Linked DNA regions of Saccharomyces cerevisiae S288C. The protein of the gene in region 1 purifies or fractionates together with the protein of each later gene. This does not show direct contact. Each region holds a gene or a part of one and is shown in the gene's direction. Other genes may lie near its edges. The genes, in order: TDH3, ENO2 and ENO1.

The links.
Region 2: the proteins of TDH3 (region 1) and ENO2 purify together in Saccharomyces cerevisiae (affinity purification with mass spectrometry; 2 studies listed by BioGRID, with this or other methods). This does not show direct contact.
Region 3: the proteins of TDH3 (region 1) and ENO1 purify together in Saccharomyces cerevisiae (affinity purification with western blotting; 2 studies listed by BioGRID, with this or other methods). This does not show direct contact.

The regions. Positions count from the first base shown.
Region 1 is NC_001139.9:882,283-893,146, reverse strand, and holds TDH3 (glyceraldehyde-3-phosphate dehydrogenase (phosphorylating) TDH3), read left to right. Parts: upstream 1-9,336; coding exon 9,337-10,335; downstream 10,336-10,864. Other genes in the region: SNG1 (Sng1p), read left to right, coding at 1-650; FYV8 (Fyv8p), read left to right, coding at 961-3,414; exosome non-catalytic core subunit SKI6, read right to left, coding at 3,525-4,265; XKS1 (xylulokinase), read left to right, coding at 5,272-7,074; PDX1 (Pdx1p), read left to right, coding at 7,406-8,638. UniProt on the Saccharomyces cerevisiae protein: Glyceraldehyde-3-phosphate dehydrogenase (GAPDH) involved in glycolysis and gluconeogenesis. Catalyzes the reaction of glyceraldehyde-3-phosphate to 1,3 bis-phosphoglycerate.
Region 2 is NC_001140.6:449,413-460,588, forward strand, and holds ENO2 (phosphopyruvate hydratase ENO2), read left to right. Parts: upstream 1-1,914; coding exon 1,915-3,228; downstream 3,229-11,176. Other genes in the region: gamma-tubulin-complex subunit SPC97, read left to right, coding at 1-1,394; YHR173C (uncharacterized protein), read right to left, coding at 1,403-1,741; CTR2 (low-affinity Cu transporter), read left to right, coding at 3,460-4,029; YHR175W-A (uncharacterized protein), read left to right, coding at 4,146-4,295; FMO1 (N,N-dimethylaniline monooxygenase), read left to right, coding at 4,817-6,115; ROF1 (Rof1p), read left to right, coding at 7,179-8,540; STB5 (Stb5p), read left to right, coding at 9,887-11,176.
Region 3 is NC_001139.9:998,933-1,002,740, forward strand, and holds ENO1 (phosphopyruvate hydratase ENO1), read left to right. Parts: upstream 1-1,994; coding exon 1,995-3,308; downstream 3,309-3,808. Other genes in the region: PUP2 (proteasome core particle subunit alpha 5), read right to left, coding at 1-208; putative N,N-dimethylaniline monooxygenase COQ6, read right to left, coding at 3,591-3,808.

The DNA.
Region 1 (10,864 bases):
TGTTAACCGTTTTACAACTGTCATTATATGGTAAGTTGCACGGAGAAATGGCCAGAGTTCTGAAGCCAAAGCATATTTTAATCTACAGGCTTCTAATTTCCTGGGCAACTTATTTTCTTCTTTCCATTGGATTCTGTACCGTATCTGCAATTTTTAGGATCGATTTCACCCCCGCCTTTGGCAGAGGAGGATTCGTAGTATATTGGATGTCTACGTGGTTGGTAATGATGGCTGTTGGTGGTGCCAATGAAAACGTTCTCAGCTTAGTTATAGCTTACTGCCCTCCATACCTGAGTATTTGGTTGATGACGTGGATCATATTAAATATTTCTGCTTCATTCTACCCAATGGTTTTGAACAACGAATTTTACAGGTACGGCTACATAATGCCAATCCATAATGCCGTGGATATCTATAAAGTGATTTTTTTGAATTTAACCAAAAGAAAAATGGGAAGAAATTACGGTATTCTCGTGGCATGGGTTGCCCTCAATACATCCTTGATGCCATTTTGTATGAAGTTTGCAGGTAAAAAAATGCAAAAAAATGCTATGCAAGCAGCAGAAGCCGCTGTCGCAGCAGCTACCCAGCGTGCTAGCCGCCCGGCAGAGGCCAATACTGATAAAAATAACAACCCGCCCGGAAATTAATGGGTAGGGTTAATAGCTTATTCATATATACACTTAATACGATTAAAAATTATTTATATTCTCATCATCATAAGATGAAGATGCAAATATCACAACAATTATATAACGTCGTTTGTTTGTTTGGTGACACATTAGTGTTTCATTCCGGGTAGCTATTTTGTTTTTCTCATGCCAAGAATTCTGTAAGGCACTTAAAAGTATTCCTAAATACCACTTTCATACATGGTTAACAAGGTAAACACAAAACTTGCATTATAGTTAAAAGGGACTGTTTGATCATTACCCTTTTTCTGGAAAGCGGATATTTATTATGAGCACTGAACAGGTCGGTAGAAAGAAATCGTATAGATGGGTTAGCGCATCTCAAGCAAGTTATGACGGCGCTGGATGGGACAGTAGTGACGAATATGACTACTCTTCCGAGGATGGCACAAAAGGTTCAGAAATTCACAAGCAAAAAATATCTAATTTGCCTAGTTTACCCAAGCTCAATTATACAGATGTTAATGGTGAGCATGATGAAAATACGGGTGAAAATAAAGACAGCAATGATAATAACGTCAGTAAGAGTGATATTAGTCCTAGTGACAAGGAAGTAGGCTATCTCTCAGATGGGGTGCCTAAACTTATGGCTTCAAGAGAGTCTGTGGAATTACAAGCGAAAAAATCCAGCGAGCACTCCAAATCAGATTATCTTTCGTCGACAGCATCTTTGAAAAGTCCAAGTGAAAACAAAAAATCACCACATACAAATAGGGCTGTAAACGAAGACCTAGACAATTTGATAGAGCAAATATCAAGGGAGATGACACCAGAAATTAGGCAAACATCTGATTTTCGGCGTGATTCAGACAGTTGTGACGAAATCCAAAACGAAGCACCATTAGGGGAAGCGGTACCCTCTTCATCATCTCCTGTAGAAGAAGATGAAAAATCACATTCCTTAGGGGTTTCAATGGATACTAATGAAGCTGATACCACTTTCAATACGCCAACAAGGAATGGAAATGAACATTTGAGTAGTGATGGCGATGTTTCTGAGCAGAAAGACGACGAGTTTAAAGTTTCCGAAAGAGGCTACCTTGCAGATATTCTGCCTGCGGAGAAAGAGGAGAATTTACAACAAGAAGATGATGGTGAAGTCGAGAGCTCAGGAGCTTTGGAAAAGAAAGAAAAAAGTGAAGAAAAGACTAGTATTAGGAATAGGAACTCTACATCTAGTGGGCAAGATAAAGTAGCAAAGCCGAAACCCGTAGCAAATGAAACAAAAACTAGTGATAATGGATATCGAAATTCTTTTTTCAATGATTATCAGCATTCGTCAGACTCTGAAGAAGATGATAACAACGAAGGCAACAGTGGTAGTAGTGATGATGATAATCGATCTTCGGTTAGTGATAAACATGCTGATATTAACCGGCAATCGAAACAACTTGATACAACTGACGATGATGCATTGTCGTATACCGAATCAATAAAATATTCGACAAATGAGACAGAAGAAGAAGATAATGAAGATAATGAATCCATAGAAGACAAAAACGAAGATAATGAATCCATAGAAGACGAAAATGAAGATACAGATAGCTATAAATTTTCTAATAGGGAAAAAGGTTCCATTCTACTTACGAGTGATGAAGAGGAGGAGGAAAAAGGTATGAGCTCTGATTCAGATGAAGGCAGTCTCAAGGCGCCCAAATCAGGTTATTTCTCCAAAATGATTGGTAATGATGATAAAGGTGATTCAGCATTGCAACCTAATCAAATAGACACCATTGAAAATACCAATTTGTCAAATAGCGGTTCTGAATTGGAAAACAGCGATGGCAGCGATGAGGAAGACCACATAAATGAAGACAAAGTTTTGGAAGAAAGTTCAGTTAAAGACTCCACTGATGTTGATTCTTGGAAGCCGGACAGTGAGGCCTTACGATCAGGGTTCGTACAGGATACAGCCAATAAGAAAGCGCCACCAGGTTACGTGATCGATTCTAACGGGAAGCTAGTAGATTTAACACCTGCTAGTATGAAACCACGTGTTGTATCGACTTATTCAGAGATGGAGAGTACTTGGGATGCATTCCCTTCCAAAGGCGAAGATGACGATTTGGAGACAATCAGGGACACTAAGACTATATACGACAACAATACGATTTATAATGTTCCCGGTTTGATTGGTAACCAATCGAATTTGCCACCTCTACCGATGGACGCACAGGAACAATTAAATGCAGGAAACGATAATAGTACAACAGATAATGATAATAGTAACAATACTGCCAATGATTTGGCAGCGCGCAGTGCATCTTTCAAAAGTGAAAACAGAACAGTATCTCAAGGCGAAATGACAAGCGTCCATGAACCCAGTACTGAAGAAATGGCGAAATTGGGGCAGCAGAATAACTTACCGAAATTAGATATGAATAAACTACTGAACAGTAAGACTTCGCACGCCGGTAAGATAGAACAGTTGAGAAATTATAAGCGTGAGCTAGATGAATATGATACGGGGATACAAACATGGATAAATTATACGCTAAAATCATCCTCTAATAAGGATAAGGATTTCATAGCTGAGGAGTATAAGCAGCATAGTCACGTTAGGGAAGCATATGCGAACGCGGACGATTTGAGTAAGAAGCATACTGTCATTAACACGGTTGCTAGTGTCAACCAAAATGTAACGCACTTAAGGAGAAAAGTTTTCCAGCATTCTATGAAACCAAAGGATTTATTCGCATCAATAGGTAAGAAAAAACTGTAAGCGTTTTGCTTTACGGTAGAAACACGAAAATGTAAATGCGTTCAATTTTCAATTTTACTGTTTTTTATGTACTTTTATATAAACAGTGGCAATTAATGGCGTTTTTTATTCTACCTAGCAGAGGCGTTACTGACTCTTTTCTGAGCATGTTTCCTCAGTTCTTCATCCATCAAATCTCTTACCCTATGAGCACCTGCGATGCCGATGGCAAGAACGTTCTCTAACCTATCTAACGGAATTTTGTCTTCCACCAATAAAAGAGAAAGTTTTTCTGACTTCCCTACCACACCTAGTGTCACTGTACTCATAGCATTTTCTTCTAATGAATTGGTATCTAATAATGGGGTAGTATCGTACAGCCCGACGGATATACCACTTATGTAATCGAACATTGATATACCGGCATCTATTAAAGCGAGGGTAATACCGTTGATTAAAGATCCCATAATACCGCCATCTTGCTCAAGGACATGGATCTCGATATCGATAACTGTTCTGGGGTAGATATTCAGCATGACATTCTTCTCAAACATCCTCACCAGGGAGGTTTGTATCTCAAGAACACGCCTTTCATTCTTGTGGCTTGATTTACTTCTTTCGAATTTGGAGAATTTTGTAATGTTTACCGATACGTTCAATAAAGCCTTTGAGGTATCCATTTGAGATTTCAATCTTGGCTCTTTTGGACCTTTAACAAGAGTGATAATTTTGTTGTTACCTTGTTCCATGTAGGATGAACCGTCTGCAGCGTGCGGATGTGTGTTGATGGAACTTTCAAAACGGCGGAGTTCATTCCATCGACGTCCATCGAGACGTAGCCCTTCTGGCGAGTATATTTCTAGTCTTGACATATGATGATCCTGCTGTAGTTATGGCACTAAAGTTTTTTTGTAAATCTTTTTATATGTTAATAGATTTTACCAGTGGGACCCTGGAAAGAAAATATGTGTAAATGATGTTTTCTTTTGGATGATGTTCATTGCACAATGGTTCGCAATGTCATTCATTCATCCATTTCTTCTAGCTTTTCAATTATTAATGCCTTAAAATTTTTCAATTTCACCGCGTTACCCGAAGATGTAAATGTACCTACTCAAATAAAAGGTTCCTTGCTGGTTGGCTTTCGTAGCTAAATTGAGTGCACGTTACAAGATTATAAATGCGTTTATATATATATATTCCAGTGAATGATCTACTTTTGCTTAAGCGGCAGAATTGCAAATCTTAATTTTTCTTTTTTGTTTATGTTTTATTTCCTTGTGACAAATAAAATTTTTTTCTCTTCTGAATTTTTAAAACTAAAGAACAAAATATTAAAATAAACAAACAATTCTCCACTTTTTCTTCTTTTGGTATAGAAACTGATAGAAATGTCCTAGACCCTTAATAAGCAAAACACTCATCATTATAACGGGAAAAAATTTGAAGCAAGCTCAAAAGAGATATATATATCATCCAGCATAGACTACTATTAATTTCTATCATAATTGCAATAAAAAAGGAAATATTTAGGGGATCAAGACCATTATTCCATCAGAATGGAAAAAAGTTTAAAAGATCACGGAGATTTTGTTCTTCTGAGCTTCTGCTGTCCTTGAAAACAAATTATTCCGCTGGCCGCCCCAAACAAAAACAACCCCGATTTAATAACATTGTCACAGTATTAGAAATTTTCTTTTTACAAATTACCATTTCCAGCTTACTACTTCCTATAATCCTCAATCTTCAGCAAGCGACGCAGGGAATAGCCGCTGAGGTGCATAACTGTCACTTTTCAATTCGGCCAATGCAATCTCAGGCGGACGAATAAGGGGGCCCTCTCGAGAAAAACAAAAGGAGGATGAGATTAGTACTTTAATGTTGTGTTCAGTAATTCAGAGACAGACAAGAGAGGTTTCCAACACAATGTCTTTAGACTCATACTATCTTGGGTTTGATCTTTCGACCCAACAACTGAAATGTCTCGCCATTAACCAGGACCTAAAAATTGTCCATTCAGAAACAGTGGAATTTGAAAAGGATCTTCCGCATTATCACACAAAGAAGGGTGTCTATATACACGGCGACACTATCGAATGTCCCGTAGCCATGTGGTTAGAGGCTCTAGATCTGGTTCTCTCGAAATATCGCGAGGCTAAATTTCCATTGAACAAAGTTATGGCCGTCTCAGGGTCCTGCCAGCAGCACGGGTCTGTCTACTGGTCCTCCCAAGCCGAATCTCTGTTAGAGCAATTGAATAAGAAACCGGAAAAAGATTTATTGCACTACGTGAGCTCTGTAGCATTTGCAAGGCAAACCGCCCCCAATTGGCAAGACCACAGTACTGCAAAGCAATGTCAAGAGTTTGAAGAGTGCATAGGTGGGCCTGAAAAAATGGCTCAATTAACAGGGTCCAGAGCCCATTTTAGATTTACTGGTCCTCAAATTCTGAAAATTGCACAATTAGAACCAGAAGCTTACGAAAAAACAAAGACCATTTCTTTAGTGTCTAATTTTTTGACTTCTATCTTAGTGGGCCATCTTGTTGAATTAGAGGAGGCAGATGCCTGTGGTATGAACCTTTATGATATACGTGAAAGAAAATTCAGTGATGAGCTACTACATCTAATTGATAGTTCTTCTAAGGATAAAACTATCAGACAAAAATTAATGAGAGCACCCATGAAAAATTTGATAGCGGGTACCATCTGTAAATATTTTATTGAGAAGTACGGTTTCAATACAAACTGCAAGGTCTCTCCCATGACTGGGGATAATTTAGCCACTATATGTTCTTTACCCCTGCGGAAGAATGACGTTCTCGTTTCCCTAGGAACAAGTACTACAGTTCTTCTGGTCACCGATAAGTATCACCCCTCTCCGAACTATCATCTTTTCATTCATCCAACTCTGCCAAACCATTATATGGGTATGATTTGTTATTGTAATGGTTCTTTGGCAAGGGAGAGGATAAGAGACGAGTTAAACAAAGAACGGGAAAATAATTATGAGAAGACTAACGATTGGACTCTTTTTAATCAAGCTGTGCTAGATGACTCAGAAAGTAGTGAAAATGAATTAGGTGTATATTTTCCTCTGGGGGAGATCGTTCCTAGCGTAAAAGCCATAAACAAAAGGGTTATCTTCAATCCAAAAACGGGTATGATTGAAAGAGAGGTGGCCAAGTTCAAAGACAAGAGGCACGATGCCAAAAATATTGTAGAATCACAGGCTTTAAGTTGCAGGGTAAGAATATCTCCCCTGCTTTCGGATTCAAACGCAAGCTCACAACAGAGACTGAACGAAGATACAATCGTGAAGTTTGATTACGATGAATCTCCGCTGCGGGACTACCTAAATAAAAGGCCAGAAAGGACTTTTTTTGTAGGTGGGGCTTCTAAAAACGATGCTATTGTGAAGAAGTTTGCTCAAGTCATTGGTGCTACAAAGGGTAATTTTAGGCTAGAAACACCAAACTCATGTGCCCTTGGTGGTTGTTATAAGGCCATGTGGTCATTGTTATATGACTCTAATAAAATTGCAGTTCCTTTTGATAAATTTCTGAATGACAATTTTCCATGGCATGTAATGGAAAGCATATCCGATGTGGATAATGAAAATTGGGATCGCTATAATTCCAAGATTGTCCCCTTAAGCGAACTGGAAAAGACTCTCATCTAAAATATGTTTGAATAATTTATCATGCCCTGACAAGTACACACAAACACAGACACATAATATACATACATATATATATATCACCGTTATTATGCGTGCACATGACAATGCCCTTGTATGTTTCGTATACTGTAGCAAGTAGTCATCATTTTGTTCCCCGTTCGGAAAATGACAAAAAGTAAAATCAATAAATGAAGAGTAAAAAACAATTTATGAAAGGGTGAGCGACCAGCAACGAGAGAGACAAATCAAATTAGCGCTTTCCAGTGAGAATATAAGAGAGCATTGAAAGAGCTAGGTTATTGTTAAATCATCTCGAGGGAAAAATTCAAAAATGCTAAGTGCAATTTCCAAAGTCTCCACTTTAAAATCATGTACAAGATATTTAACCAAATGCAACTATCATGCATCAGCTAAATTACTTGCTGTAAAGACATTTTCAATGCCTGCAATGTCTCCTACTATGGAGAAAGGGGGGATTGTGTCTTGGAAATATAAAGTTGGCGAACCATTCAGCGCGGGCGATGTGATATTAGAAGTGGAAACAGATAAATCTCAAATTGATGTGGAAGCACTGGACGATGGTAAACTAGCTAAGATCCTGAAAGATGAAGGCTCTAAAGATGTTGATGTTGGTGAACCTATTGCTTATATTGCTGATGTTGATGATGATTTAGCTACTATAAAGTTACCCCAAGAGGCCAACACCGCAAATGCGAAATCTATTGAAATTAAGAAGCCATCCGCAGATAGTACTGAAGCAACACAACAACATTTAAAAAAAGCCACAGTTACACCAATAAAAACCGTTGACGGCAGCCAAGCCAATCTTGAACAGACGCTATTACCATCCGTGTCATTACTACTGGCTGAGAACAATATATCCAAACAAAAGGCTTTGAAGGAAATTGCGCCATCTGGTTCCAACGGTAGACTATTAAAGGGTGATGTGCTAGCATACCTAGGGAAAATACCACAAGATTCGGTTAACAAGGTAACAGAATTTATCAAGAAGAACGAACGTCTCGATTTATCGAACATTAAACCTATACAGCTCAAACCAAAAATAGCCGAGCAAGCTCAAACAAAAGCTGCCGACAAGCCAAAGATTACTCCTGTAGAATTTGAAGAGCAATTAGTGTTCCATGCTCCCGCCTCTATTCCGTTTGACAAACTGAGTGAATCATTGAACTCTTTCATGAAAGAAGCTTACCAGTTCTCACACGGAACACCACTAATGGACACAAATTCGAAATACTTTGACCCTATTTTCGAGGACCTTGTCACCTTGAGCCCAAGAGAGCCAAGATTTAAATTTTCCTATGACTTGATGCAAATTCCCAAAGCTAATAACATGCAAGACACGTACGGTCAAGAAGACATATTTGACCTCTTAACAGGTTCAGACGCGACTGCCTCATCAGTAAGACCCGTTGAAAAGAACTTACCTGAAAAAAACGAATATATACTAGCGTTGAATGTTAGCGTCAACAACAAGAAGTTTAATGACGCGGAGGCCAAGGCAAAAAGATTCCTTGATTACGTAAGGGAGTTAGAATCATTTTGAATAAAAAACACGCTTTTTCAGTTCGAGTTTATCATTATCAATACTGCCATTTCAAAGAATACGTAAATAATTAATAGTAGTGATTTTCCTAACTTTATTTAGTCAAAAAATTAGCCTTTTAATTCTGCTGTAACCCGTACATGCCCAAAATAGGGGGCGGGTTACACAGAATATATAACATCGTAGGTGTCTGGGTGAACAGTTTATTCCTGGCATCCACTAAATATAATGGAGCCCGCTTTTTAAGCTGGCATCCAGAAAAAAAAAGAATCCCAGCACCAAAATATTGTTTTCTTCACCAACCATCAGTTCATAGGTCCATTCTCTTAGCGCAACTACAGAGAACAGGGGCACAAACAGGCAAAAAACGGGCACAACCTCAATGGAGTGATGCAACCTGCCTGGAGTAAATGATGACACAAGGCAATTGACCCACGCATGTATCTATCTCATTTTCTTACACCTTCTATTACCTTCTGCTCTCTCTGATTTGGAAAAAGCTGAAAAAAAAGGTTGAAACCAGTTCCCTGAAATTATTCCCCTACTTGACTAATAAGTATATAAAGACGGTAGGTATTGATTGTAATTCTGTAAATCTATTTCTTAAACTTCTTAAATTCTACTTTTATAGTTAGTCTTTTTTTTAGTTTTAAAACACCAAGAACTTAGTTTCGAATAAACACACATAAACAAACAAAATGGTTAGAGTTGCTATTAACGGTTTCGGTAGAATCGGTAGATTGGTCATGAGAATTGCTTTGTCTAGACCAAACGTCGAAGTTGTTGCTTTGAACGACCCATTCATCACCAACGACTACGCTGCTTACATGTTCAAGTACGACTCCACTCACGGTAGATACGCTGGTGAAGTTTCCCACGATGACAAGCACATCATTGTCGATGGTAAGAAGATTGCTACTTACCAAGAAAGAGACCCAGCTAACTTGCCATGGGGTTCTTCCAACGTTGACATCGCCATTGACTCCACTGGTGTTTTCAAGGAATTAGACACTGCTCAAAAGCACATTGACGCTGGTGCCAAGAAGGTTGTTATCACTGCTCCATCTTCCACCGCCCCAATGTTCGTCATGGGTGTTAACGAAGAAAAATACACTTCTGACTTGAAGATTGTTTCCAACGCTTCTTGTACCACCAACTGTTTGGCTCCATTGGCCAAGGTTATCAACGATGCTTTCGGTATTGAAGAAGGTTTGATGACCACTGTCCACTCTTTGACTGCTACTCAAAAGACTGTTGACGGTCCATCCCACAAGGACTGGAGAGGTGGTAGAACCGCTTCCGGTAACATCATCCCATCCTCCACCGGTGCTGCTAAGGCTGTCGGTAAGGTCTTGCCAGAATTGCAAGGTAAGTTGACCGGTATGGCTTTCAGAGTCCCAACCGTCGATGTCTCCGTTGTTGACTTGACTGTCAAGTTGAACAAGGAAACCACCTACGATGAAATCAAGAAGGTTGTTAAGGCTGCCGCTGAAGGTAAGTTGAAGGGTGTTTTGGGTTACACCGAAGACGCTGTTGTCTCCTCTGACTTCTTGGGTGACTCTCACTCTTCCATCTTCGATGCTTCCGCTGGTATCCAATTGTCTCCAAAGTTCGTCAAGTTGGTCTCCTGGTACGACAACGAATACGGTTACTCTACCAGAGTTGTCGACTTGGTTGAACACGTTGCCAAGGCTTAAGTGAATTTACTTTAAATCTTGCATTTAAATAAATTTTCTTTTTATAGCTTTATGACTTAGTTTCAATTTATATACTATTTTAATGACATTTTCGATTCATTGATTGAAAGCTTTGTGTTTTTTCTTGATGCGCTATTGCATTGTTCTTGTCTTTTTCGCCACATGTAATATCTGTAGTAGATACCTGATACATTGTGGATGCTGAGTGAAATTTTAGTTAATAATGGAGGCGCTCTTAATAATTTTGGGGATATTGGCTTTTTTTTTTAAAGTTTACAAATGAATTTTTTCCGCCAGGATAACGATTCTGAAGTTACTCTTAGCGTTCCTATCGGTACAGCCATCAAATCATGCCTATAAATCATGCCTATATTTGCGTGCAGTCAGTATCATCTACATGAAAAAAACTCCCGCAATTTCTTATAGAATACGTTGAAAATTAAATGTACGCGCCAAGATAAGATAACATATATCTAGATGCAGTAATATACACAGATTCCCGCGGACGTGGGAAGGAAAAAATTAGATA
Region 2 (11,176 bases), on another chromosome or scaffold:
GCTTACAAATACCCACCATACCTTCTAATAGCAGTGATATAACCATTCAAGAAATCAATGATTTCGCTGACTTAATGGAGGGTTCTAATCTTGAACTTTACGTGGATAAATGTTACAGCAGAGCCAATGAAATATTTTTAAAGCTATTTTTTCAAGGTTACGATTTGATCAATGTATTAAAACATTTGCAACAAATTTTTCTTGGGTATCAATCTGGTCATAATGTTTTAAAGTTTCTAACAAAAAATATGGGTGAGTTGACCAAACACTACAGGAATGATAATAATGCAAACTATGACAAGCTGCTACAAAATTTTGAGTTAGAGAGACAATCCGAAAATCCAAACAACCTGATGAGGCAACTCCTGATGATACAGTTCGATACAGAAACACTTCCACAAGTCTTATCGCACTACCTCCAAATTTATCCAGAAGTACCTGAGAATAACTCAGCAAATGACGACAGCGACCCATTGATGCACGCGAATAATTTCAAGAATATGAATGCCATTCTTTTTGATGAATTAAGCAAAGAACGAACGGGAGCCTACCATGGATCCAATCTAGAACTATATACTCCAAAAAGCGCAATTTATCATTTAAAATTTGACATCAACATACCTTATCCATTGAATATTATTATTAGTAGGACATGCATGATAAAATACCAAATAATCCTGCGCTACCAACTAGTTTTACAATACCACTCAAGGCTTTTGGATGAGACTTGGATGGACTTAAACAAAACACCCAGCTGGAAATACAGAGGCTATTCGCACACTGTGAAGAGGAGGATAGTAAGGGCAACGAGAGTGCTGCATGCTAAGATGAACCACTTCATTAAAACCATCATGGAATATTTCAACCAAAACGTAATTGATAAAGAGGTATACTCATTAGAAAAGTGCTACAGAAATCCTACTCTTGCCGTTGCCATCCAAAATGAGCTAGAAGGTGGATTAACAAATATAATGACAAATCGTTGCTTGTCTGACTTGATTCCACTACAGTTACAAATATTTGACATTGTATATAAGTTTTGCAAGTTCATCAAATCTATGAGAGCAAAATTATGTCAACTGGACCCCGTACTATATGAGAAACACAAAAGCGGGATGATGAAAACACTAAACGAAGGCTATCGTACAAACAATGGCGGTCAGGAAGATGTTGGTTACCAAGAAGATGCCGCCCTGGAATTAATTCAGAAGCTGATTGAATACATTAGCAACGCGTCCAGCATTTTTCGGAAGTGTCTCATAAACTTTACTCAAGAGTTAAGTACTGAAAAATTCGACTTTTATGATAGTTCAAGTGTCGACGCTGCGGGTATAGAAAGGGTTCTTTACTCTATAGTACCTCCTCGCTCAGCATCTGCTTCTTCCCAAAGATGAACGCGGCGTTATGTCACTAACGACGTGCACCAACTTGCGGAAAGTGGAATCCCGTTCCAAAACTGGCATCCACTAATTGATACATCTACACACCGCACGCCTTTTTTCTGAAGCCCACTTTCGTGGACTTTGCCATATGCAAAATTCATGAAGTGTGATACCAAGTCAGCATACACCTCACTAGGGTAGTTTCTTTGGTTGTATTGATCATTTGGTTCATCGTGGTTCATTAATTTTTTTTCTCCATTGCTTTCTGGCTTTGATCTTACTATCATTTGGATTTTTGTCGAAGGTTGTAGAATTGTATGTGACAAGTGGCACCAAGCATATATAAAAAAAAAAAGCATTATCTTCCTACCAGAGTTGATTGTTAAAAACGTATTTATAGCAAACGCAATTGTAATTAATTCTTATTTTGTATCTTTTCTTCCCTTGTCTCAATCTTTTATTTTTATTTTATTTTTCTTTTCTTAGTTTCTTTCATAACACCAAGCAACTAATACTATAACATACAATAATAATGGCTGTCTCTAAAGTTTACGCTAGATCCGTCTACGACTCCCGTGGTAACCCAACCGTCGAAGTCGAATTAACCACCGAAAAGGGTGTTTTCAGATCCATTGTTCCATCTGGTGCCTCCACCGGTGTCCACGAAGCTTTGGAAATGAGAGATGAAGACAAATCCAAGTGGATGGGTAAGGGTGTTATGAACGCTGTCAACAACGTCAACAACGTCATTGCTGCTGCTTTCGTCAAGGCCAACCTAGATGTTAAGGACCAAAAGGCCGTCGATGACTTCTTGTTGTCTTTGGATGGTACCGCCAACAAGTCCAAGTTGGGTGCTAACGCTATCTTGGGTGTCTCCATGGCCGCTGCTAGAGCCGCTGCTGCTGAAAAGAACGTCCCATTGTACCAACATTTGGCTGACTTGTCTAAGTCCAAGACCTCTCCATACGTTTTGCCAGTTCCATTCTTGAACGTTTTGAACGGTGGTTCCCACGCTGGTGGTGCTTTGGCTTTGCAAGAATTCATGATTGCTCCAACTGGTGCTAAGACCTTCGCTGAAGCCATGAGAATTGGTTCCGAAGTTTACCACAACTTGAAGTCTTTGACCAAGAAGAGATACGGTGCTTCTGCCGGTAACGTCGGTGACGAAGGTGGTGTTGCTCCAAACATTCAAACCGCTGAAGAAGCTTTGGACTTGATTGTTGACGCTATCAAGGCTGCTGGTCACGACGGTAAGGTCAAGATCGGTTTGGACTGTGCTTCCTCTGAATTCTTCAAGGACGGTAAGTACGACTTGGACTTCAAGAACCCAGAATCTGACAAATCCAAGTGGTTGACTGGTGTCGAATTAGCTGACATGTACCACTCCTTGATGAAGAGATACCCAATTGTCTCCATCGAAGATCCATTTGCTGAAGATGACTGGGAAGCTTGGTCTCACTTCTTCAAGACCGCTGGTATCCAAATTGTTGCTGATGACTTGACTGTCACCAACCCAGCTAGAATTGCTACCGCCATCGAAAAGAAGGCTGCTGACGCTTTGTTGTTGAAGGTTAACCAAATCGGTACCTTGTCTGAATCCATCAAGGCTGCTCAAGACTCTTTCGCTGCCAACTGGGGTGTTATGGTTTCCCACAGATCTGGTGAAACTGAAGACACTTTCATTGCTGACTTGGTTGTCGGTTTGAGAACTGGTCAAATCAAGACTGGTGCTCCAGCTAGATCCGAAAGATTGGCTAAGTTGAACCAATTGTTGAGAATCGAAGAAGAATTGGGTGACAAGGCTGTCTACGCCGGTGAAAACTTCCACCACGGTGACAAGTTGTAAAGTGCTTTTAACTAAGAATTATTAGTCTTTTCTGCTTATTTTTTCATCATAGTTTAGAACACTTTATATTAACGAATAGTTTATGAATCTATTTAGGTTTAAAAATTGATACAGTTTTATAAGTTACTTTTTCAAAGACTCGTGCTGTCTATTGCATAATGCACTGGAAGGGGAAAAAAAAGGTGCACACGCGTGGCTTTTTCTTGAATTTGCAGTTTGAAAAATAACTACATGGATGATAAGAAAACATGGAGTACAGTCACTTTGAGAACCTTCAATCAGCTGGTAACGTCTTCGTTAATTGGATACTCAAAAAAGATGGATAGCATGAATCACAAGATGGAAGGAAATGCGGGCCACGACCACAGTGATATGCATATGGGAGATGGAGATGATACCTGTTCGATGAATATGCTATTTTCGTGGTCATACAAGAATACGTGTGTCGTCTTTGAATGGTGGCATATCAAGACCCTGCCTGGACTGATTTTAAGTTGTTTAGCAATTTTTGGTCTAGCCTACCTCTATGAGTACTTAAAGTACTGTGTCCATAAGAGACAATTATCCCAGAGAGTATTGTTACCAAATAGATCTCTGACCAAGATCAACCAAGCCGACAAAGTGTCCAATAGTATTCTATATGGTTTGCAAGTGGGATTCTCATTCATGCTCATGCTTGTATTCATGACTTATAATGGTTGGTTAATGTTAGCTGTCGTGTGTGGGGCAATATGGGGTAATTACAGCTGGTGTACTTCGTATAGTCCTGAGATAGATGACAGCTCCCTCGCCTGCCATTAAGATGGTGACAAATATTACAAATTTGATACTATTTGTATCTATTTTGTTTTTATCCGGGATTTTTCGTATTTCTTCCTCATTCATACCCTTCCCTTTATTTGTTCCCACTGAGTATAATGATAAACTACGTTAACATTACATGTATAATATTTAGCACTCGTACGTTACTAGTCTTTGACACAAGTTTATATATCCCCCCCTTTATGTTATCGTTTATTGGCTACAGCCTCAGTAATCAAAATAGTCCACTATTTCTATATCATTAACTTCTGCGTCGCCAAGATGTTAATCATGAAACGATCTAGTTCTTCAACAGTTTGCCAGCGACCATTCGAGCTAATCTTGAACAAAAGTAATACTATTTAAGGGTGGGCGCGGGTTGTTATACCGTTTTGAGACGATCTACTATAACGTTATATTTAATTATATAAGTGATGAATTTAATGTCCCGTCCACAACACGAAATCGCACCTCATTTCAACGCGGCAAGTATTAATGTTCTGCTTTATGAAAGATTCCATGAACCCTTTTCTACCTTTTAAATTCCTCTTTTCACTCTTAATCACATGATATTACCTTTACATAGGAAGCGCCAGACATCTTTTTGCCGAGAAAAGCCATTATGCAAGATAATCCTGTAGCCTCATATCAAGGATAAATGCCACTGCAAAAACGCAGTCGTTATTTGGGACTGTATTTAAATGGGCCACTGTTTTTATACAAGTCGAAAATACAATAATACAGAAAATTCAAGCAGGAAGCGAGAAATAACAAGAAGTAACTAGGCATGACAGTGAATGACAAAAAAAGATTGGCAATCATAGGTGGGGGGCCAGGAGGGTTGGCAGCTGCAAGAGTTTTCTCGCAAAGTCTTCCAAATTTTGAAATAGAAATATTTGTAAAGGATTACGATATTGGCGGTGTCTGGCATTATCCAGAACAAAAAAGTGATGGGAGGGTCATGTATGACCATTTGGAAACCAATATATCAAAGAAGTTAATGCAGTTTAGCGGCTTTCCCTTCGAGGAAAACGTCCCTTTATATCCGTCTCGAAGAAACATTTGGGAATACTTGAAAGCCTATTACAAAACGTTCATTGCCAACAAAGATGCTATCAGCATCCATTTCAGCACCGAAGTTACCTACTTAAAGAAGAAGAACTCTCAATGGGAGATAACATCTAAAGACGAACTAAGGACTACTAAATCGGATTTTGACTTCGTTATTGTTGCGTCTGGTCACTACAGTGTCCCTAAACTACCAACTAATATCGCAGGTCTCGATCTATGGTTCGACAATAAGGGCGCCTTTCATTCTAAGGATTTCAAAAACTGCGAGTTTGCCCGTGAAAAAGTCGTTATTGTGGTGGGAAACGGCAGTTCCGGCCAAGATATTGCCAACCAACTAACTACCGTTGCAAAGAAAGTATATAATAGTATAAAAGAGCCTGCGAGCAATCAACTGAAGGCCAAGTTAATCGAGACTGTCCAAACAATAGACAGTGCCGATTGGAAAAATCGTTCAGTTACTTTATCTGATGGAAGAGTACTTCAGAATATAGACTACATTATTTTCGCCACAGGCTATTATTACAGCTTTCCATTTATAGAGCCCTCCGTTAGACTGGAAGTGCTAGGTGAGGGTGTTACTGGCGACAAGCACTCGTCTGTCAATCTGCACAATTTGTGGGAGCACATGATCTATGTAAAAGATCCTACGCTGTCCTTTATCTTGACCCCGCAGTTGGTCATCCCGTTCCCGTTGTCGGAACTACAGGCGGCTATTATGGTCGAAGTATTCTGTAAAAGCTTACCGATAACTACAACTTTCGACTCTAATGCCTGCGGAACGCACAACTTCCCAAAGGGAAAGGACCTGGAATACTATGCAGAACTACAGGAACTACTGAATAGCATTCCACGTAGGGTCGGTCATTTCGAACCAGTTGTATGGGATGATAGACTGATCGATCTAAGAAACAGTAGTTATACAGACAAAGAAGAAAGAAATGTGCTTCTAGCGGAACACGCACAAGCCCTAAAGAAAAAAAAAGCACCATACTTCCTTCCGGCGCCACATACTTAACGTAAAAAGGAATGTACTTGTATAGAAAAAACACATATTGTGCCGCTTAATATTTCGTTTCCCTCATGTATATACCTTATCGCTGTTAAAATAAGAAATCTTCACTTCTGCTATCTTTTTTTTTCAAACATTGATTAATAATCCGGCCGTCCGCAGATTGCTTACGCAGAATATACCGTACCGCCACCGTAAAATTAACGAATACTTAAATTTCCGCCTCTTCCGTTTCGGCAATAGCGAACCTTAATGTAAGTTTTTAAAAGGCAGCGCCAAAAATTGCTCTGAAAGGCCTGCAGTGCTTCGCGGCTACGCAGTTCCCATGTAAAAAAAAAAGAAAACTTTCTTTTTGAATCTGGAAAATCCGCACAGGCGCGCCAGCATAAACCTCAGTATCCTGCAAAGGCCATCCTTTTAAAGATCTTAACAACGTATGAATCTGAGGCAGAGAGAAATTAAGCGATAAACGTTCCTTTTAGACTTTCACTTTCTTGGCCGTCATTTAAAAAAAAATTATCTAATAATCTCTAATTTTAAGTTGAAATCACGCTAACATATGACTATGACTATTAACCTTTTTATGTGGAAAAAAAAGGAAGAATATGTTGTAAACGTATTTTAGCCTTGTTCCCGGAACTTTAATCACTCTGGCAACTTTTTAAGTAGTCTGTCTTTTTCTCGGTCGTATATTCCTCAAAATTCAAGAGGAAAGAGGAAGTGAAGAAGAAAGCCTAGAAAAAAAAAATAGGCATTAACACAAAAACGCACCTAAGGGACTGAGGAAAATCAAAAAAATGATAATTGCAGTTAGTAAATCTTCATAATCGACGCCCACTTATTCTTTCTTTATAGTACCGGGTAGGCGGGTAATTCATACGTAGCTGCTGCGGGAGAACTACTATGTATCATTCCCTGTTTATTTGTATGAATTATTATTTAATACGTACATTCTTGTAAGCCCTTCTTCAACAAAACAAACAAATAAAGCGAGAAAAAAGGGAACCACGAATTAAGATAATTAATCAAACAATAGATAGGAAAAGGAGATCGACGAGTAAGCGTAAGAATGATGGATATCAGCCCTACCTGTTATGGGTACATCGACGACGAGCAAGATCTAGCCCTTGTTTTCCAGGGCGTATTCAATGGAAATTTGAGATGCATCGAACGGAGGCCATATGATGCAGAAAAGGTTGAATTAGTCAACCCCGGAAACATTTTTGTTTTCAACGAAGAGAAATCCGGCATCAAAAGATGGACAGATGGTTTTTCTTGGTCTCCTTCAAGAATTTCAGGCAAATTTCTCGTATATAGAGAGTATAATAGGCTGGGTTCCACGCACGATCTACCGCTGCATAATGTACCTGAGTATAATATCTTCGAGAGGGCTCATAGGAAGTATTTTTATACTGGACTACTGAAAAAAACATTTTCTCTAAAATTCAATATGGATCCCACCGACAGCACTAAGCTGGAAACATTTCATCTTATTGCGTACTATACGGAAAAGGATATTCATCAAGGAAGTTTGAGGAGACCTTCAGAAAATCCTTTCTTCCATAAATTTCGACCTTCACAGAAACTATTAGATGCTTTACAAAAAGTTGCTGTAGGAAATGGCAGATCTAACCCGTCTAAAAATAATGAGAGAGGCAGAACCAAAGCTCATAATTATAAAACGCGCAGGTCTTTATCATCTTCTCCGAGCTATTGTGATCTCTTGAGCAATTATAACAACCATCCTGGAAATATTCCAGTTAGGACCGCAGTTCAGTTACCTTTAACCACCTTCAATAACGCTCCTCGAGAAATGCACCAACAGCAGCACCGACAACAGCAACAATATCTCTTACCCATAGATGAACAGAATAAATTACCTCTCCCGTATATGCAGCACCAGCCACAACCAATTGGTGTTTACAATCCTAACTATCAGCCTGGATTGAGACGTACGGTCTCACAACCTATGATTTTCTGCAATACATACAATACTCTCCCGCAACAACCTACTGCAGCACCTTATGAACGGCGTGGCGTGTCGCCTTCAGTGATATACTCCTCCAATACATTGAGCCCAATACCATACCAAAATATCGATCCATACTCTTCGAGGTCGGGTCCTGAATGCAATCACTCTAAGGCGCCTATCGCCCCAACAATGATGCCCCCAGTACACCATATACTTGTGCATGATTACCGACAACCAAAACCAGTCACAGATTCTATTAATCCTCCAAATGTAAACATAACCACCTCCACAACCAACAAGAACCTAGATGGCATTTATATTTTGCCAGCTCCTCGTATGAATCCCCCGGCTCAAACACAATACCAAATGATTCATGCGCCAGACAGCATGCAACATCCACCAACATTTAGTAAAAACAACACATCAAGCAATCCTAAATCCCACCAATACTCAAAGTAGAAGATCAGCATCCTTTCAATTGCTGAAAGGTTCACCTAAAGTACCGCTCATATTCCAAAAGGATTCTTCACTACATAGAAAGGGCAGCCAATTGTGTGTTTTTCAGAAAGGGTTTTAAAAAAACAGGAGGGTGCTTGTTCTTGTTGTTCCCTACCATCGATGGATTTCGAAAAACTATTTATAGGACCATCTGATTTTCACCTCCATCATTGTATCATATACTAACAAGCATATCCAAATTTGTAATTCTATCATGAAATTTCCAGAGAAAGAAACGCAAGGGAACTGAGAAATCAAACCTAAAAACGGTTCTTGGCATTGTTATGAAAAATGAATAAACCAGGGGGGCAAAACAATCGAGAACCCCAATCAAAACCATGTGAGATACCCACTTCGAAAGTTACTGATATTATAACTCTTGTGTCCTCTCTTCTAATACCTTACTTTCACCTTTCTCACGTAGTTAAAGTTGCAACAACACATTTTGTCCTCATCCAATTTCTTCTATAGAATATCCGTTTGCCTCCAGGAGTGAAGAAATGATAGCAGTAACACTGTGAAAGCGAGACTAAGAGAAACGACTTAAAGCTCGAAGACTTCTTGAGGATACGTTTATGTTTCTGTGGCTTCTTCTTCGCGGCGCGGTTCTCGCGTATAGGAATGTTCTAAGACAAGAAGGCATGAAGTTATGTTAACAGATTCTATATCTACTCGCTACGCATATATAAACGGATTCATCATTGAAACAATGGTACTTGTGGTAATGTGTACGACGATTTCAACCCGAATAAAAGCAAAAGTGCAAAAAAAAAACAAGAAGCGCTTAGCACTGTTGAATCATTTAGAACACTACTAATGCTGGTAATACACTCAAGAATGAAGAGTGGCTTACTCCATTGTTGATGCAAAAGTTGTAAATTTCACGAATTATTTAATGCGTTCCTTGCAACCTTCTATTTTGATGAACATCAGGAATTGAAACAAAAAAAAGGCTTCAATCTCAACGGAAAACGGGAAGAAAACTACACTCGATTATACTATATATGCCAAGAAGATTCTCCGACAGATTGTCTACTTAATTTCACATAATATATCTTGTTTTACTAGCTTATTATATAGCGTCGCATTTAATTCATGGCGCCATCACCCGCAGGGAATATAACGACAAGGCCGATACCACGGGAAAAATAGGGCGAGCGGAAATACTAAAAGAAAAATAAGCTTCCGAAATAAAACACCGACAATGAAGTTCTTGGCAAGGTTCGGTTATTTCCTCTACGTAACAAGAGGTATAATATCCGAGCGTACAGGGCTAAAAAATTAATACAAAGGTGTAAAAGAAGGACATGGATGGTCCCAATTTTGCACATCAAGGCGGGAGATCACAACGTACTACTGAATTGTATTCGTGCGCACGATGCAGAAAATTAAAGAAGAAGTGTGGTAAACAAATACCGACATGTGCAAACTGCGATAAAAATGGGGCACACTGTTCATATCCAGGTAGAGCCCCAAGACGTACCAAGAAGGAGTTAGCGGATGCTATGCTACGAGGGGAATATGTTCCAGTGAAAAGGAACAAGAAGGTAGGAAAAAGCCCATTGAGCACTAAGAGCATGCCAAACTCTTCTAGTCCGCTATCCGCAAATGGCGCTATAACTCCCGGGTTTTCGCCTTACGAAAACGATGATGCACATAAGATGAAACAGCTAAAACCGTCAGATCCAATAAATCTTGTCATGGGGGCAAGTCCAAATTCTAGCGAAGGTGTCTCATCGCTAATTTCGGTGCTAACATCGCTGAATGATAATTCTAATCCTTCTTCGCACTTATCCTCTAATGAAAATTCCATGATTCCTTCCCGATCATTGCCAGCTTCCGTGCAGCAAAGTTCGACAACTTCATCATTCGGAGGATATAACACGCCTTCACCACTAATTAGCAGTCATGTGCCTGCGAACGCCCAAGCCGTACCGCTACAAAACAACAATCGCAATACTAGCAACGGGGATAACGGCAGTAATGTTAACCACGATAATAACAATGGCAGTACCAACACACCGCAATTGAGTCTTACCCCATATGCAAACAATTCAGCCCCCAATGGGAAATTCGATTCTGTGCCGGTTGATGCATCCTCGATCGAATTTGAAACTATGTCCTGTTGCTTTAAAGGTGGTAGAACAACATCGTGGGTCAGAGAGGATGGCTCGTTCAAGTCAATTGATAGATCCTTACTGGACAGGTTCATTGCCGCATACTTCAAACACAATCACCGTCTATTTCCCATGATTGATAAAATAGCATTCCTAAATGACGCCGCGACAATTACTGATTTCGAAAGGTTATATGACAACAAAAACTACCCTGACAGCTTTGTTTTCAAAGTATACATGATCATGGCTATTGGTTGTACAACTTTACAGCGTGCTGGTATGGTTTCTCAGGACGAAGAGTGTCTGAGTGAACATTTGGCTTTTTTGGCCATGAAAAAATTTCGTAGTGTTATAATTTTACAAGATATCGAAACTGTACGATGCCTATTGTTGTTGGGTATTTATTCGTTTTTTGAGCCAAAGGGCTCCTCGTCATGGACAATTAGTGGTATCATCATGCGATTGACCATAGGATTAGGT
Region 3 (3,808 bases), 120 kb from region 1:
TCTCCACGATTTTCTCAATAGAATCAGATTCTAATAGTGGTGAGGTGGCACGTTTCTCCACACCTAGTACAACACCTTCTTTCGTGGCAATACCAATTGCTGTAGATCCTAATTTGATGGCCTCCAAAGAATACTCAACTTGGAATAACCTCCCTTCTGGGGAAAATGTGCTTACACCACGATCATATTCACTTCTAGTTAAGAACATCCTTTCTAGTTATATTAGACAATTGGAATTTATGTTCTTATTGACTTGTATTCTATAGTTATAGCGCTCTCTTGTCCAATTTCCTAGGTTACTCTTTTGCCACCGGTCTTGGTTTATGATAACCCTGTATAATGAAATTTCAAAAATATTTTCGTGAATAGTGATTTATTTAATTTAAGCACTAAATTATCCTTACGGACTTGGGCTACATTCATGTTTGCACGCTTAATAAAAAATCGGCGTACTTTCATCTATGCTTGGCTTATAATATGTTTGATAGTCAATTCATTTCAGTAAAAAGTCTTCAGCAGTAGTTGCAAAAGTGTCCTTTTTTACTTTTTGGGCTACATTATTCTTGAAAAAAGTTCATGTTTTGTTATTTCTTTCTCACATACTTTATAAAAAAAGATAATTTTTTTAAAAAAAAAAAAAAATACAAGTGGAACATTATCAAATAAAAAGCATTATAGCGCCACATGCGATGAACCTGAGCTTTTATCTTCATTAATATATAGTAATTACAACATGTTATTGAAATGCACAGCACTTATCCAGAGTTATTTGATATAAAGATTATGACTCAAATTCTTCTCGACAAACAAGAAACTTTCTCACCTACAAATGTCTTCAACAATTCTAATAATTGACACATAAGTATATTGTATATATAACATGGATATAAATGGCCCTATATTGAAAGCTATGTCAAAATAGGAATCCTTCCTTCCTCAGCGCTTTTTATCAAGGGCCAATTGATCTGATACACCTAGTAGTGTACTATAAGTGTAGAAAGCATACTATACTATTCGACACTTCCTTTCAATCCTGGAATTAACAGTCACTTTTAAAAAAGACATCTACCGTGAAGGTGCCGTAGAGTATCGCGTTACCATATCGCCAAAAACTGATATACGCCGCGGAAACCAGGCAAACAATTGAAAAGAAAAATTTTGAGGAACTCTCTGCATCGAAGCCGTCTAGAGTTACCACTAGTCAGATGCCGCGGGCACTTGAGCACCTCATGCACAGCAATAACACAACACAATGGTTAGTAGCAACCTGAATTCGGTCATTGATGCATGCATGTGCCGTGAAGCGGGACAACCAGAAAAGTCGTCTATAAATGCCGGCACGTGCGATCATCGTGGCGGGGTTTTAAGAGTGCATATCACAAATTGTCGCATTACCGCGGAACCGCCAGATATTCATTACTTGACGCAAAAGCGTTTGAAATAATGACGAAAAAGAAGGAAGAAAAAAAAAGAAAAATACCGCTTCTAGGCGGGTTATCTACTGATCCGAGCTTCCACTAGGATAGCACCCAAACACCTGCATATTTGGACGACCTTTACTTACACCACCAAAAACCACTTTCGCCTCTCCCGCCCCTGATAACGTCCACTAATTGAGCGATTACCTGAGCGGTCCTCTTTTGTTTGCAGCATGAGACTTGCATACTGCAAATCGTAAGTAGCAACGTCTCAAGGTCAAAACTGTATGGAAACCTTGTCACCTCACTTAATTCTAGCTAGCCTACCCTGCAAGTCAAGAGGTCTCCGTGATTCCTAGCCACCTCAAGGTATGCCTCTCCCCGGAAACTGTGGCCTTTTCTGGCACACATGATCTCCACGATTTCAACATATAAATAGCTTTTGATAATGGCAATATTAATCAAATTTATTTTACTTCTTTCTTGTAACATCTCTCTTGTAATCCCTTATTCCTTCTAGCTATTTTTCATAAAAAACCAAGCAACTGCTTATCAACACACAAACACTAAATCAAAATGGCTGTCTCTAAAGTTTACGCTAGATCCGTCTACGACTCCCGTGGTAACCCAACCGTCGAAGTCGAATTAACCACCGAAAAGGGTGTTTTCAGATCCATTGTCCCATCTGGTGCTTCTACCGGTGTCCACGAAGCTTTGGAAATGAGAGATGGTGACAAATCCAAGTGGATGGGTAAGGGTGTTTTGCACGCTGTTAAGAACGTCAACGATGTCATTGCTCCAGCTTTCGTTAAGGCTAACATTGATGTTAAGGACCAAAAGGCCGTCGATGACTTCTTGATTTCTTTGGACGGTACTGCCAACAAATCCAAGTTGGGTGCTAACGCTATCTTGGGTGTTTCTTTGGCTGCTTCCAGAGCTGCCGCTGCTGAAAAGAATGTCCCATTATACAAGCACTTGGCTGACTTGTCTAAGTCCAAGACCTCTCCATACGTTTTGCCAGTTCCATTCTTGAACGTTTTGAACGGTGGTTCCCACGCTGGTGGTGCTTTGGCTTTGCAAGAATTTATGATTGCTCCAACTGGTGCTAAGACCTTCGCTGAAGCTTTGAGAATTGGTTCCGAAGTTTACCACAACTTGAAGTCTTTGACCAAGAAGAGATACGGTGCTTCTGCCGGTAACGTCGGTGACGAAGGTGGTGTTGCTCCAAACATTCAAACTGCTGAAGAAGCTTTGGACTTGATTGTTGACGCTATCAAGGCTGCTGGTCACGACGGTAAGATCAAGATCGGTTTGGACTGTGCTTCCTCTGAATTCTTCAAGGACGGTAAGTACGACTTGGACTTCAAGAATCCAAACTCTGACAAATCCAAGTGGTTGACTGGTCCTCAATTGGCTGACTTGTACCACTCCTTGATGAAGAGATACCCAATTGTCTCCATCGAAGATCCATTTGCTGAAGATGACTGGGAAGCTTGGTCTCACTTCTTCAAGACCGCTGGTATTCAAATTGTTGCTGATGACTTGACTGTCACCAACCCAAAGAGAATTGCTACCGCTATCGAAAAGAAGGCTGCCGACGCTTTGTTGTTGAAGGTCAACCAAATCGGTACCTTGTCTGAATCCATCAAGGCTGCTCAAGACTCTTTCGCTGCCGGTTGGGGTGTTATGGTTTCCCACAGATCTGGTGAAACTGAAGACACTTTCATTGCTGACTTGGTCGTCGGTTTGAGAACTGGTCAAATCAAGACTGGTGCTCCAGCTAGATCCGAAAGATTGGCTAAATTGAACCAATTGTTGAGAATCGAAGAAGAATTAGGTGACAACGCTGTTTTCGCTGGTGAAAACTTCCACCACGGTGACAAATTATAAAGCTTTTGATTAAGCCTTCTAGTCCAAAAAACACGTTTTTTTGTCATTTATTTCATTTTCTTAGAATAGTTTAGTTTATTCATTTTATAGTCACGAATGTTTTATGATTCTATATAGGGTTGCAAACAAGCATTTTTCATTTTATGTTAAAACAATTTCAGGTTTACCTTTTATTCTGCTTGTGGTGACGCGTGTATCCGCCCGCTCTTTTGGTCACCCATGTATTTAATTGCATAAATAATTCTTAAAAGTGGAGCTAGTCTATTTCTATTTACATACCTCTCATTTCTCATTTCCTCCTAATGTGTCAATGATCATATTCTTAACTGGACCGATCTTATTCGTCAGATTCAAACCAAAAGTTCTTAGGGCTACCACAGGAGGAAAATTAGTGTGATATAATTTAAATAATTTATCCGCCATTCCTAATAGAACGTTGTTCGACGGATATCTTTCTGCCCAAAAGGGTTCTAAGCTCAATGAAGAGCCAATGTCTAAAC